2 linked regions of the Tamandua tetradactyla genome follow. The protein of the gene in region 2 interacts with the protein of the main gene of each other region in a biochemical or structural test. Links are inferred from orthologs where the notes say so. Each region holds a gene or a part of one and is shown on either strand. Other genes may lie near its edges.

The links. The genes of interacting proteins can lie anywhere in the genome.
Region 1: of the proteins of MAPK1 (region 2) and IER3, one has a biochemical effect on the other in vitro, tested with the Homo sapiens proteins (2 studies listed by BioGRID and IntAct). The link is inferred for Tamandua tetradactyla from reciprocal best matches to the Homo sapiens genes MAPK1 and IER3.

The regions. Positions count from the first base shown.
Region 1 is NC_135331.1:85,621,257-85,628,200, forward strand, and holds IER3 (radiation-inducible immediate-early gene IEX-1), read right to left. Parts: upstream 1,958-6,944; 5' UTR 1,839-1,957; coding exon 1,629-1,838; intron 1,534-1,628; coding exon 1,273-1,533; 3' UTR 577-1,272; downstream 1-576. UniProt on the Homo sapiens protein: May play a role in the ERK signaling pathway by inhibiting the dephosphorylation of ERK by phosphatase PP2A-PPP2R5C holoenzyme. Also acts as an ERK downstream effector mediating survival.
Region 2 is NC_135331.1:26,070,383-26,078,187, reverse strand, and holds the start of MAPK1 (mitogen-activated protein kinase 1), read right to left. Parts: upstream 3,012-7,805; 5' UTR 3,006-3,011; coding exon 2,887-3,005; intron 1-2,886. UniProt on the Homo sapiens protein: Serine/threonine kinase which acts as an essential component of the MAP kinase signal transduction pathway. MAPK1/ERK2 and MAPK3/ERK1 are the 2 MAPKs which play an important role in the MAPK/ERK cascade.

The DNA of each region.
Region 1 (6,944 bases), about 60 Mb from region 2:
GAGGGACGGGGGCGCGCGGGGGCGCAGGAGAGCCACGCAGGGTAGGTGAGCGCGCTGGTCTGGCCACAAGCTGGGCCTGCGCCCCCCAGGCGGCCGCACCCTGCTGCTGCGGCAGAAGCGATCCCGCCCCACGCAGCCGGGACCAACCCCACCTCGGCCCGCCCCTTTCCCGGCAGGCTCCGCTCGAGTCCGCGGTGTGCGCACGGCTTGGGCTGCCCTGCGAGCCCCGGGTGGCCTCCCAGCGTCCCCGCAGTACACCGCCTCCCTTCCCGAGCCGGAAGACCAGCCCGGGCTCCTCCCCGGGACTCGGGACATGACCTCCATGGGTAGCAGCGTCCGGCACCCCTGTGGGGAGAAGGGGGGGTTGCCTCATCTCGGATTAGTCCCGCGCTAACTGGGAAAACCGCAGCCTGGGCAACCGACTACTGCATCCGGCGACCGGATGCTGGGGCGGGAGGAGGGGGCGGAGCGCCGCCTGGGACTTTTGGCCGCTAGTCCCTCCGGCGGGGCCTTAGCGCCTAAAGGCTAGGAGGGAATGGGGAGTTGCCGCTCGCAAAGACAAACGCCAAAGACTGCTGACAGTAAATCAAGTTTATTTGTGTTCACAGAACATACACGGCGACCCCGGCAGCGGCCCCCTGACAGCCCACCGACCCCGGACCCCGCAGCCAACCCCTTGGGGGCGACTGCGGGGAGATCGAAGGCCACGGACCTTACCCCAAACGGTCCGCCAGGGCCTCACACAGTAGGCCCCACGGAGTTGAGATGTTGGAAGACGGAGAGTGTCAGCCCCTAAACCTAAGACCCACCACCAGCCTAGACTCCCAGCCCGGAAGCCTTCCCGGACCCGGTCTCTCTACTCCCCTTCCCGAGTCCCAGGTGCCCTCCCTCCACCCATCCCGCAATGCTCCATAAATACCTAGCGATCTGCATCTGCACTGGGGGGGCACATCTCTACTCTTGCATAAGTTAAAATAAATATTACGTACACCCCTCCATCACCTAAAGGGACGTACATAAATACATATAAATATTAATTAGGAGCAATGAAAAATAAATTAACGACGGTCTTCTTCCCCACAGGCCTAACCTAAGCGTGTCAGTGCCGAAATCCCGCCCCAGGCATCCGCCGGCACCTCGGTTTTAGTGTTCTGAGTTTGATTTACCACGCGAGTCCCAGTTTGGGATATGCCCTCGCGCACCAGGTACACTTGGCGTTTCTCTGGATTTTCAGTTTCGTTTTTGAGGGGAGGAAGGGGAGCGTGTCCACGGCTAGAAGGCGGCCGGGTGTTGCTGGAGAAAAGTGCTGAGGTCCAGAGCGTAGTCCGAGGGCTCCGAGGTCACATTAAGAGACTCGAAGACGAGGGGCGCAGGAGTGGGCGCGGGGGACACAGGGCTGGGTACGTCCTCGGGTGCCACGGTCGCCGGCACCCCCTCTTCAGCCATCAGGATCTGACAGAAGATGATAGCGAGTAGGAGGAAGAGGAGCCTTTTGGCAGGGTTCGAGTCCTCGACTGGCAGCTGGCGTCGAACCTGGGGGGAGAGAAGAAAGGGGACAGGTCAGGGCAGGGGGCTCCCGGGCGTATGGCTGTTCCCCCACGACGGCTGCCCACTTCGGCGACACTCACCACGCGAGGGTAAAGAACCCTGCGGCTGCGCTTGCGGTGCCCGCGAGAGGCGCTGGGGCGCGAGGCAGGGGCCTCTGCGGGCTCCGGCAGCGGGTCGAAGGTAAAGATTTCGGGACCGGAGCCCCTCCTGGGTCCCGGGCTGGTGGTGGCGACGGGAGTCGGGGCCCGCACGACGGTCATGGTAGGAAAGGTGCTGCGGGAGCGACACATGGCGAGCCAAGCGAGCAGAAGGCGAAGTGAGGGACCGCGGCGGGGCAGAGGTAGTTAAGTCCGCGGGAGAAACTGGGCGGGCCTTCCTCAACTCCTCCTCTCGCAGCGGGGGAGCGGCTTGTCAGGAGCCATCTGGAAATTCCGACGATTAAACAAATGGGGGTGTGGGGGTGTGGGGTGGGGACTTCACCAGTACAATCCAAGGCACAGAGGTGTGTGAGCTGTGAGTGGGGGTGGGGCGGGACGGCGTGCACATGTTGGGACTTGTAGCACCTGAAAGATGGACCCAAAGACCTGCTTGGGTGATGGTTCAGGCACGCCCGGTTTAGGCTCCATCAGGAAGGTTAGGCAGGAGGGCTTACAGGAGAAAGTCCGGCTTTTAAAGCGTGAAAGATACCCGTGCACACTCACACGCTTGTAGGTACACACAGAAAACACACACCCCAACCTAGACGGGCCAGCCTTTCCAAAACATCAGCTAGTTCCATCTCCCTACCCTTTATTATTGACAGCCCTTCCCACATGAACAAAGTTAGAATAGCCATAGCCTACAACCTCCAGATGGGTCCCTGGACCTGATAAGTCTTGAAATGCAGAGAACCCAGCCCTTCCAGAACATCAACTAGTTCCATCCCCCTATCCCCTATTATTGACAGCCTCTCCCAGTGTGAAAAAGCTAGAATGGGCATAGCTCAAATACCCCTAAAGAATGGGAGAAAGATCAAAGTTGATGATGGAGTTATACAGAAAAGGTAGGGTTTAACAAATGAGTATGAGTGCTGAATTGTTATATTGATACTTCTTTTAGTCTCCAGTATCTTAGAGCAGCTAGACGTAAAAACCAAAAATTGTGGAATTGTAACCCATACCAAACTCTGAAATCTGTTCTACAACTAGTTGTTGTGCTGTGCTTTGAAATATATTGCTTCTTTGTATATATGTTATTTTTGACAAAAAAAAAGGAAAAAAGATGATAAAAAAATATGTATATTCCTTCTGGCCTCCAATGTTCTGGAGCAGCTAGAGGGAAAAGTCTGAAATGATGGTATGGCAGCCCATGACAAAATCTGGGCTCTTTGTCCTGTAACTATTTGTTGAAGAGTGCTTTGAAAACGATTGCTTTTTCCGTTCTTTGCTTTATATATATGTTATATTATACAATAAAAAAGTTAAAAAAGTAAAGAAAACACACACCCCAAAAAGGAAAGGCACTGCAGAAACAGTCAAGGAGACCAAGAGAAGTGAACACACTAGCACATGCAGGCACAGCCGTTGCCTGCCTTGGCACACATGAAAATGCATTCATACATATTCACATACACACAACATGCACACACAGCAAAGAGGCAGAGATGGCACAAGAGACAACTTGGCACAGCTACCCACTTAGGTGTGAGTAGAAATGTTCACACAAAGACTGTTACAGAGGAACCACAAAATAAAAGACTAAGAGGTCATTGGTCACATGGATTTGCCCCATGTATAGATCAAACAACAGAATTCATGTGAAGAACTTTTTAAACTGTGAGGCATTATACAAATATGGTAGCAATGGTAGTGATTCCATTTATTTTCATAACTGTTTTGACACAGTTGCTCATTGGACACAGAATTTGACACCTTCTGAGTATCTACCTGTGCCAGGTATCCTGTTAAATGTACTGTGGAGAGTACAGAGGTCAGTTATCCATGTATGTGCTGCTGAGTGGGGTGGGCTAGACAAAACTGTCACCTCAGCCTTGAGGGTCTTACCTTTCAGCCTGGGGAGGGGACTGTGACCAGGCACAATCTCTCAAGGGTCCTAAGAAAACTTAAGACTAAGTGTTAAACTTAAAAACTAAGGTCTAAGAAAACTTAAGACTAAGCCCCCCACCCCCACCCCAGTTACTGTTCACATTCTTTCTAATCGATCAAGGGGTCTTCAGAGAAGAGTTGCATTTGAGAGGACCTTGAATAGTGGGTGGGGTATCACAAATACAAATGTGTAGGATGAATTGCTGAGAAAGAAAATAGAGTCAGCAAAGGCCTTGAGCTGGAAAAATACAGGGTGTGTTTGGGAATTTGCAAGAAAAACAATCTCAAAGTAAGTTTCCCGTAAAGGGGTAGTGGGAAGAAATAATGGCTGGAAAGCTGTGGGGCAGAGTTGGGAGAGCTTAGCTGCCAGGCCAGGAGGCTGAGTTTGACTTTAGACAGTGAAGCTTGTGGGCTGGAGGATGATAGTAAAAGGAGGGCAGCTTCCCCTGGGGGCTGACTGAGATGAGGAGATGTCCTTGGTAGGGGAGAGCCTGAGGTGGGAGCCTGGAGGCTATTGGAGTGGTTCAGGTAGAAGGCACCAAAGACCTGAAGTCCTTGGTTGAGGGAAGCAAGAGAAGGCATGGCTTCTAAGAGACATTTCTAGCATAAGATCACCAGGATTTCGCAATTGGATAGATATCATAAGGGGCAGGGAGTATGGGGGGTGCTGGCAGCAAGAGGATAAAGGGATCAAAGATGACTCTGGGATTTGAAGTACATGGGCTTAGGCCTTTATACCATCATATCATGCCTCGAGTGTAAGATGATGATATGTCAGATCTCTTCTAGAGGCGTGTGGTTGCACACGCCATTAAACCCTTGCGTTATAGTAGTTGCTCAATAATCTTGTTAAATGAAAGATGAAAATGCAGAACTGTAAGTGCTAGAACTAAAAATGCACAACTATAAAAGCTTTTGAAACATGGGTACATGCCTCTAAACCCCACATACAAATTGACAACGTCTTGAAGAAAGCTGAGACAATTCTTAGGCAGACACCAAACTAAAAACACGGACGGGCATTTTCCAACCAAGGATGTGTGGGGATGCAAATAAAGGGAAAGCCCCATGATTAGGCTTGAAATGGATCTGTTATTACTGTTTCTTGCTTCTTAGGCCTATATGTCACTTCAGTTTACACCCGCCACTCCTGTCTAAACACACAGGACACCACCCACGTTATACCCTCCTCCACGAACAAAGACACATAACTTTCTCACATGTGCCTTTCACACATGCCATCATACTTTTTTCTTTTTAATTTTTATCATGGTAATAGATACATGATAAAACCTTTCCTATTTTAATCACTTTAGAGGATACAATTTAGTGGTGTTAATTACACTTGCAATGTTGTGCTACTGCCACCATTCAATTACCAAAATATGCCATCATCCTTACATGTACACTGAGAGCACAGCTAGCTGCACACCCGCCTACATCCTGATTCCAAAGCAACTCACACACATGCACACAACACAGTGACCAACATGGGTTGGCTACTTACGTGTCTACTTACACGGTGACTTACACATGTGGATGGACCCACGTGTTCACAGACACAAGCTGCTGGCAGTGGAGTGGGGGTTGGGGCACAAATAGTGAAGATGGAAGAAAACTGCTTGGTGGAAAAGAGGGGGAGGCACCCAGGACAGGAATGCATAACTTGTTTATGATGGAAAATTTCTCCAGGGCATTAGGCAGGGGAGGGAAAGGGGAAATGAAGAGGGGGATGTCAGGATTTCATTTGGCCATTATCTCCCACATCTGGAATCTGGGCGATTACAGATTCCAGCTGGTTCTAGTTTTCCTCGTGCTTCTGGCACAGAGAGACCTTTCTTTGTGGCAAGACCAGAATGAGACAAAGACAAATACCCAAAGAACTAGGTTGCCCACTATTCCTTCCCAACCTATCTGATCCCCATTTCTGCCACCCTCAGAGACCTGGGGATCTGCCCCACCCCCCTCCCTCCCACACAGGAAGCTAAGGAAAGGTTGAGAGTGAATCATTAAGCTAATGAAGGGGTAGGAGATGAGTTAAGGCCAGAAAGTGCCAGGGGCTGGGACCAGTACCTGAACTGGTTCCCACTGCCCTAATCCTAGAGAAACAGGCCCCTAGCCCCTTCCATTTTCCATCTCTCCTGGCTCCCCCTGATTTCCTTCCCATCTTCCTGAAGATCACTGTATTATTTCTCCAGGGAAACAGAACCGACCGGATCAACTGGACACCATAAACTAGCCAAGCTGACACATGAACTCAGCCGTCACAATCGCCATGTTCTTTCAGTTCCTCACTTGACCTCTTCTCTTGACCCCCCCGCTAACCTTTCTCCTCTTTTCTCCACGGTATTTGCCACAATGAGGAATAGTTTTATGTATCTGTTTAACTTTTGTTGTTTTTCCTCTCCTGTACTGGAATAAGGTCTCCCTGAGTATACTGGACCACATTTGCCCATTCCCCATTGTATCACTGTCCATCTCCAGTCCTTTGCCTGGTCCTAGTAGGGGCCTTAAGAAATATTCTTAAATAAGCAAATGGATTTGAATCCATCTCCTTTGAGGAGCCCAAACTACCCACCCCCGCAGAGGTGTCTGCTTATATAGCAGTGTCCCTTTAGAGTCCTTCATGTTTCCTCCTGGTAGAGGAGGCTGGGGGGGGGGGCTCAGCTCTGCTCAGGGTGATTTGCCTTTGAATCAGGAATGACTGAGAAGCCACTGATGGGGGCAGCCCTAGCCTTCAGCCACATCAGGCACATTCATAAGAGCTAGTCCCTCCTGTCACCGCACCTTGCTGACCATGGGTCTGGAATGGAGAACAGAGGTAGTGAGAAGTGCTAGAGGGAGAGTGAGCAGGGAAAGGGACACAGATATTTGGAGGTAGGAACTTCTGAGAAAGCGAAGCAGGGATGGAGAGATGGAGCCAGGGTTTTAGGGTCAGGGGATGAAAACTGGAAGCTCCTAGCTGCACCTGGCCTTTAGCTGATGCTCCATACATATTTGTTGGCTTGAGATGGGTTTGAGATGGGAAGGGAGTATGGACTGACATGAAGAGCATATCACAATCTAATGGTGTTAGAGGAAACTGGGCTTAAATCCCAACTCTACTACTTATTAACTGTGTGACCTTAGGCCAGTCATTTAACTTTTCTGAAAATTTGTTTCTCGGTTGAAATATGGGCAAATTGGTCCTAATTTCATTGTGAGGATGAAGATCATGAACATATTTCTCCTAGGCCCATAGTAGGTATTTCTTTTATTATTATTATTATTAAAGGAACTGCTCTGGAGCAGAGATGGGCAGCGGTGAACTAA
Region 2 (7,805 bases):
ACACAATGAACTACTATTTGGTCATAAAAAGGAATGAAGTTCTGAGACACGCCACAACATGGATGAACCTTGAAAAGATTATGCTGAGTGAAAGCAAAGCACATGAATGAGGGCAACTACCTTATGATTTCACTTACACAAAATATCCAGAAATAGCAAAACTTATAGACAGTGGATTACGAAATGGGGGGGGGAGGGAGAGTTGTTGCTTGGTGGATAATTTTTAAGTTTTGAAAACTTAAGAAAACAAACACATGAAAAATCTTCAACTACCATTTACACGAATTTCTGTTTTCAGCGCCAACTTCCCTCTTATAAATTCCAAGATACCATCTGGATACAGCCTGAATGGCCCATGGGCACTATAAACTTCATCGGTCCACACCAGAACCCCCTATTTCTTCCAGTTAAATTTGCTCTGCCTCCCATATTCCTTCCCTCAGATAATGGAACCACCATCCTTCCAAGTTCACAAGCTAGAAGCCCTGAAATTAACAACTGCCCACACAATCCATCACCAAGCCCTAGCTCTATCTATCTCAGAAACCCCTCTCAAATCCAGAACCTACCTCTCTTACCCCTTATGGTGGCCTCATCATTTTTTTGTTCCTACCCCTACATGCCACCATTAATTCTTTCTGCCACTCCTATGATGAGAGCCCTAGTTATTGATCCTATCTCTGCAGGCCTCACACTTCCATCTGCCCTTTGGCAAGCTAACTAACCTCTGCTCAATGCCTTCCACTGCTACCGTATTACTATGCCTCTAGGTTACAATAGCCCAACTAATTCCCTCCATTCCAGTTCCTTCTTCTTTCACTTCTTAAGGGCGTTTATCTATCTTAAAAATAAAAATTGATGAAATGACAGCCTCCTACAAAATGGCGATGACCCCCCCCCATTACGCAAACACACAGTGAAACTCAGCTTTGCCTTAAGAGTTCTCTACAATTAGCCTCCTTAGTACTTTTCCAGGACTAGATTCTACAGCTCAAGCTGTCACTTGCTCCTTTTATCTCCCTATCAAAGTCATACACATTCTTAAAGGCCCAACTCAAACCCCATTCTGTAGAAGATTAAGTTCTTATTAGAATACAATATCAACCTAAGACAAAAAGGCCTCTGGATCCAATTCATTTCTGCTTGGATTTTACTTAGTAAGGAAAAAATCACAGGAAGAAAACTTTAAGTATTTCACCAGGAAACTCAGAAAATCAAAGAAGTCTACAGCAGTGATAGAAATGGTTAATAAATAGAGATCATCTTCTCTAAGTAAAAAATCTCATCAGATAAAAAACAAAAAAAATTTCAATAGAAATGTCTTAGGATTTTTTCAGTTCTCATTTTAGAAAACTTAATTTTCAAAAGAAGGACCAAAGAACAGGAAGGACAATTCTGAGATTCACCTAAAGAGAAACGCTCATTGACATACTTACCAGCAGATGCAGTGGCACCAACAGAAGTGATGCTGCAGTCAATGCTTTCTGTCCATTATTTTCTTAGGGTCCTATCTCTTTTAGGTCTGATCTATTTTCTCTTTTAGCTCCTAAACCTGTGAATGCATGTTAATTTTCACAGTTGTATACTGTGGAGCATTTTGCCCCTACAGAGAAAGACAGTATTCAAGATTCATTAAAATTTTTTAAAAAATAATTTTACCTGGTTGGTTCATCTAGCGAAGTTAGTATAAACGCGCCCTCTTTTTTAAAAATTATGTCCATTCAAATGTGAATGCGTTGCTGGGACACGCTAACATTCTTAAATCATTAAGAACCCCTTATTTAAGGAAAGCAGCATGTAACAGAAAGAGCTGCAGCACTTAAAATCAGACCTTGATCTGAATCTGAGGTCCAAGCACTTTCTCACCTGCAGGAGGTATATATACCACCACCCTTCCTCGCCCCAATGTAGAAGAAGTTGGTTGTTCAAACCAAATGAGATCATGCAGACTTAGCACAGTACCTGCTAAGAATTCTTCAATGTTACTTTGCTTCCTTCATTCCAGAGAAAACATACTCACAGAAGATGTAGGTGTAAGGAAATCTACACTTCCACAAATCCTCACCAGCCCCTTCGTCCTCATACATACACACACACACACACACACACACACACACCGTCAGCCTCTCCTTCCACACATTTCTGAGGAACATGAGTCGGGATAAGGGAGCATGTTGTGATGGTGCAAGAACTCCACCAAGGCTGCCCGCACTGAGCGCTAAAACATGAACAAAGTCTACAGTAATTGTCAAGACGTCCAGAGGCATTTTTGTGCTGCTAAAAGAGAGTCTTTAGGGTAAAGGGGGGGGGGGGGAGTCAAATTAGGACCCACTCCAAACGGATCTTTTAATAAATCAATGGGAGCCCCGCTGGATGATCCTTCCTGAAAATGCAAACAGCGCGACGTTACATCCGAAAACTCCAACATGGAAAGACTCCCCCAGCGACCCGGGGGTCCCTCGTGCTTTTCGGAAAGCCTGCGCGGGGTAGCACCGCCCGCCCCACCGACGAAGCCGAACGAGAGCCGTTCCGGGGGAAACCGAGGCGGGGAGGCCGGCGTAGGAAACGGGACTATTTCGGTGCTCTGCACACCAGAGAGGCCGCCGCCGCCGCCGCGCCTCTAAAGGGATTCCCGCTTTTCCAAATGGATTTCCAAATGAAGACCCCGAGGTCAGCCAACACGGGGAGGGGGGCTGCCGTTCCGTCCGCGGACCCCCGCCCCCTGCCGCGACGCGCGCTGCCCGGCCCGGGAGGAGCCCCGCGGGCAAGCCCCAACCCCCAGCGCAGCCCCACCCCCACGCCGGGGTCGGGGTCGGGGTCGCGGCGGCGCGGGAGATCGAGGCGCCCCCCAGGCCCGGCGGGCGTGCGGGTGGGGTCGACACTCACCACACCATGCCGTAGGCCCCCTCGCCGATGTACGAGAGGTTGGTGTAGCGCGGCCCCACGTCGAACACCTGCCCGCGGACCATCTCGGGGCCCGCGCCCGCTGCCGCCGCCGCCGCCATGTTGGCTGCCGGGCCGCCGCCGCCGCGCAGGGCTCGAGGCGCTCCGCGGCCGCCGCTCGGCTCCCGGGGAAGGGTGGGAAACGCGCCGCCGCCGGGCCACCGCCGTGGGCCGCGGAGGAGGACGAGGAGGAGGAGGAGGAAAGACGCCGCTGAGGGTTGCTGACTGCAGCTCGGCCCCACCGCCTCTGTGCCTCCCTCCCTGACTGACGGGCGGGCCGGCGGGCGGAGGGAGGGGCGCGCGCCTAGCAGGACGCCAGGGCGGGGCGGGGTGGCGTGCGCGCCCATTGGCTGGCCGCGGCTCGGGGGCGGGGCGTGCGCGGGCCGGCGGAAGCGGCGCGCTCGGGGCGGGGCACTGCGGCGGCCGCTGGGGCGCTGCCCGGGGGGCGCGGTCACGGGCGCCGGGAGGCGGCCCCCGGGAAGCCGAGGGCGCGCAGCGGGCCTCGGAGCGGGAGGGTGACCGTGGGCTGCGCGCGGACAAGGACGGCGACGGACGGGCGCGACCGAGGGACACTTCTCCGTACTGAGGGGCTGACACCAAAACCGGGGGTTCCGAGACGGTGCGCTAAGCAGACAGGCCCTTCAGCAAATAGGGGTTCAGCACCTGCCATCTTCCCGGGGGTCGGCTCTGAGAAGAAAATAAATAAATTTATATATATATATGTGTATGCATGGATATATATACACACCTCTAATATATATGTACCTATATAGAGAGATATATAGGTACATATCTTTCTCTAATATGTACATGCCTACATATACACTCATATATATATATATATACACACCCATATATTATCTGTATATATATCTTTAGATTTATAGATTTATATGTATATGTATATATGCTAATATATACCTATCTATAGATACATACCTATACATTCTCTCTATATAGATATATGCCTATACCTATATATATGCTAATATATACCTATATATAGATATATATACACACTTATATATTCTCTAACTATAGGGTGTGCAAGGGTAGCTCAGTGGTAGAATTCTCACTGCCATGGAGGAGACCCAGGTTCGATTCTTGATCTATGCACTTCCCAAAAAACAAACAAAAATTCAACAAATGGTGCTACAATAATGGATACTCACATGGAAAAATAATGAAATGTGACCCCCCACTATACAACATACAAAAGAAAAAAGATATATAGCTATAGATAAATCTATACCTATACTTATACTCGAATATATACCCTATATTCTACCTATATATAAATATTATATATATAGTATATGTATTCCTAGAGATTACATTTTAGAGGAAGCATATATGATGGTGATTAAATATACTATATATATATATAAAGTAATATATATCTTCTCTATATCTGTAGATTCATATATATATTCACCTGTAATCTCTTGTATAAACCTTCCTAGAGATTATATTCTAGAGGGAGGAAGCATATAGATAAATATACACAATACTCATATTAAGGTAAGTACTATGATAAAATATAAAGCAGAATAAGGGGTTAGAGAGTAGTGGTTTAAGACACTAGAGAAAGACGCAAGACTCAGAATGGTACAGCTGGACAGAGACTTGGACATAAACAATGAAATAGAAAGGTCAAGAGGGACATACTAAAAGCAACGCTTCAAGACTTAAAGAAAATGAGACAGCTCCACGGAGGTTCAAAAATAGTTATAAACACTAGAGGTTGAAAAGTAAAAACTGGACTCCTGTGGCAGGTGGGTGCCAGGAAAAGCTAAGCCAGTGAGACCGGGCGGTGCCCCTGTACCTCTTCCCAGACCATCTCTGGAAGGGTGTAAGGGCTGCATCCGGATTGCCCAGCCATGTGGTCTTTAAAGCCACCAGCTGCATATCAGACATCAACAAAGATCAACTAGACTAGTCAACTTTAAAAACTAATAAGCAATTTTTTTAACCCTGCGGAACTAACTGTGTGGCACACAAGAAAAGCAATGAAGTGCCAGAGCCAAAAATTACTCCTTTGAAATGCATTCAGTCCATCATGCAGACCCAGTTTTAGAAAACACTTAATTCTTATTCTTGATTGAAAGAAGGCATTGCCAAGGTCAGGAGGGCCTGGCCTGCAAAACACCTGGAGGTGGCCAACCCCCCAGATCAGCCACCAGGCACAGCCCTGAAGAGATGGGAGGATTCGAAGAAAAAAACCTGAAAAAGGAAGGGGCAGTAAGTAAATGAACTAAGGAAGGAAGGGAAGTAAGTCAACTAAGCAATAAAGCAGCTTGCCTCACATCTCACCCCTCTTTTCTTGCATGTCCCTCTTGCATATGTACTCCAACTTTCTACCTGCCTACTCCAGGGTGAAGAGAGACATTATATATCTTAAAGAACAAGCCAAGGTAAAAGGGAGGGTACCATAAAATTAAAACCACAATAGCTCTTTAGTTATTGATTAAAAGCAGTGGTCAAAGCAGCAAAAAGCAGACTTAACAATGCAGAAAAGCACATCAAAGGAAAACTTGAGAAAATCTTTAAGAACACAGAATGGAGTATTGGGGAATTCTTTAAAAGAGAAGATAATGGAGCTGGAGAACAGCATGGAGATGGAAACTAGAGGTGTCCCCCAAAAGAGGACAGCTAATCAATTAGAAGGTAGGATCAACAATATAATTGAAAAAAAAAAACTTGAGTCTGAAAAGATCTGAGGTGCAGGGTGGAAAATTAAGTGGGTTCACTGAGATCCAGAAAAATTAACAAACAGGCTCCAAGATACAAGCTGGAAGCATTCTTAAATCCCAGGGGGGAAAGAGCAAACACTAACAGTATCCCATCAGCGGAAAATAAAAAGTTATTTATTAAAAAGCTAAAAAATGTTGGGTGTATTTTTTCCCCCAGCTTCTTCCTCTGCAGTAAATAATGAATGCCAAAGGAAAACAGAACAAGATTGATAGATGGTAACTTTAGCTGCTGTGCAGATTTGAAAGGATTTATGTACATTAGAAAAGTCATGTTTTAATCCTGATTCAATCTGGTGTTCTAATTAAAGCAAATCTATAGCAATGTCCGATCTAAGGTATTCAGTGAAAGTTACCTTGATTCAAGAAGGCCAATGAAGTTCAGGGTTTCTCTCTCAAGTGGAAGGGCACAGGGAGAACATGGAAGTATCTGCTGGCTTTCTCTCCAGCCCTCTTGTTTCATGAAGCTCCCCAGGAGGCGTTTTCCTTCTTCATCTCCAAAGGTCGCTGGCTGCTGCTTCTTGTGGCTATGTCATTCTTTCATCATTCTCCAGCTTTTTCTAAAGTGCTTCCTCTTTTATAGGAATCCAGTAAACTAATTAAGATCCAGGTAGAATGGGTAGAGACACGTATCCGTCTAATCAAGCTTAATACCCACACTTGATTGAGTCACATCTCTGTGGCAATAATGTAATTACAATTTCAAACATACAGTACTAAATAGGGATTAGAAGAAAAGGCTGCCTTTACACTAAAATAGGATTAGGACTAAAACATGATTTTTCTAAGATACATAAATCCTTTCAAACCAGCACACCACCCAACCTGTTTCTCCCCCTGGGTCTGTGGTTTCCATTCCCCTCCACCCAAACAATCAAGTTGGAAATTTAGGCATGACTTTTTATAATTCGTTCTACTTTTCCCCCATCCCACACCCATGCAGTATTCTTGCCTCTCCAATCCCAGCCATCCAACTGATCACAAATTCCTGTAAATTCTATTTCTTTCATATTTCTTAAGCCTTGCTACTTGTTCTAGTTTGCTAGCTGCCAGAATGCAATATACCAGAAACATAATGGCTTTTAAAAAGGGGGGTTTAATGAGTTGCTAGTTTACAGTTCTAAGGCCAAGAAAATGTCCCAAATAAAACAAGTCTATAGAAATGTCCAATCTAGGGCATCCAGGGACAGATTCCTTGGTTCAAGAAGGCCGATGAAGTTAAGGGTTTCTTTCTCAAGTGAGAAGGCACATGGCGAACACAGTCAGGGTTTCTCTCTTGGCTGGCAAGGCACATGGCGAGCACGGTGTCATCTGCTAGCTTTCTCTCCTGGCTTCCTGTTTCATGAAGCTCCCCAAGAAGCATTTTCCTTCTTTATCTCAAAAGCACTGACTGGTGGATTCTCTTCTTCGTGGTGCTGCAGGATTCTCTGCTCTCTCTGAATCTCCTGGCTTTCTCTCTTGTCATTCTTTTTTATAGGATTCCAGTAAACTAATGAAGACGCAACCAAATGGGTGAAGACATGCCTCCACCTAATCCAGTTTAACAACCACTCTTGATAGAGTCACATCTCCAGGGAGATGATCTAATTACAGATTCAAACATACAGTACTGAATAGGAATTAGAAGAAACGATTGCCTTTACAAAATGGGATAGGATTAAAACATGGCTTTTCTAGGGCCATACATCCTTTCAAACCAGCATACTACTCGAACTGTGGGTCTTCAGATCAGCAATGTCAACATTATCTCGGAGTTTGTTAGAAATGCAGCATCTTAAGCCCTACTCAAGATTTACTAAATTAGGACCTGCAGGTAATTTGTATGCATATTAAACTTTATTATTTTTTTATACTTTTCATTTTTAAATAGTTTTAACTTTTACAGGACAGTTGCAAAAATAAGGCAAAACCCATACAGAGAACTTCAACATATCCTTTATGGCAGTTTGGAGCTGTTAGGTACCCCATAAAAGGCCATGTACTTTTTATCCATTCTTGTGGGTATAGACCTCTTGTGGGTGGGACCTTTTGGTTAGATTATTTCAATTGAGATGTGGCCCAACACATGCAAGGTGCATCTTAGTCTCCTTACTGGAGTCCTTTATGAGAGAT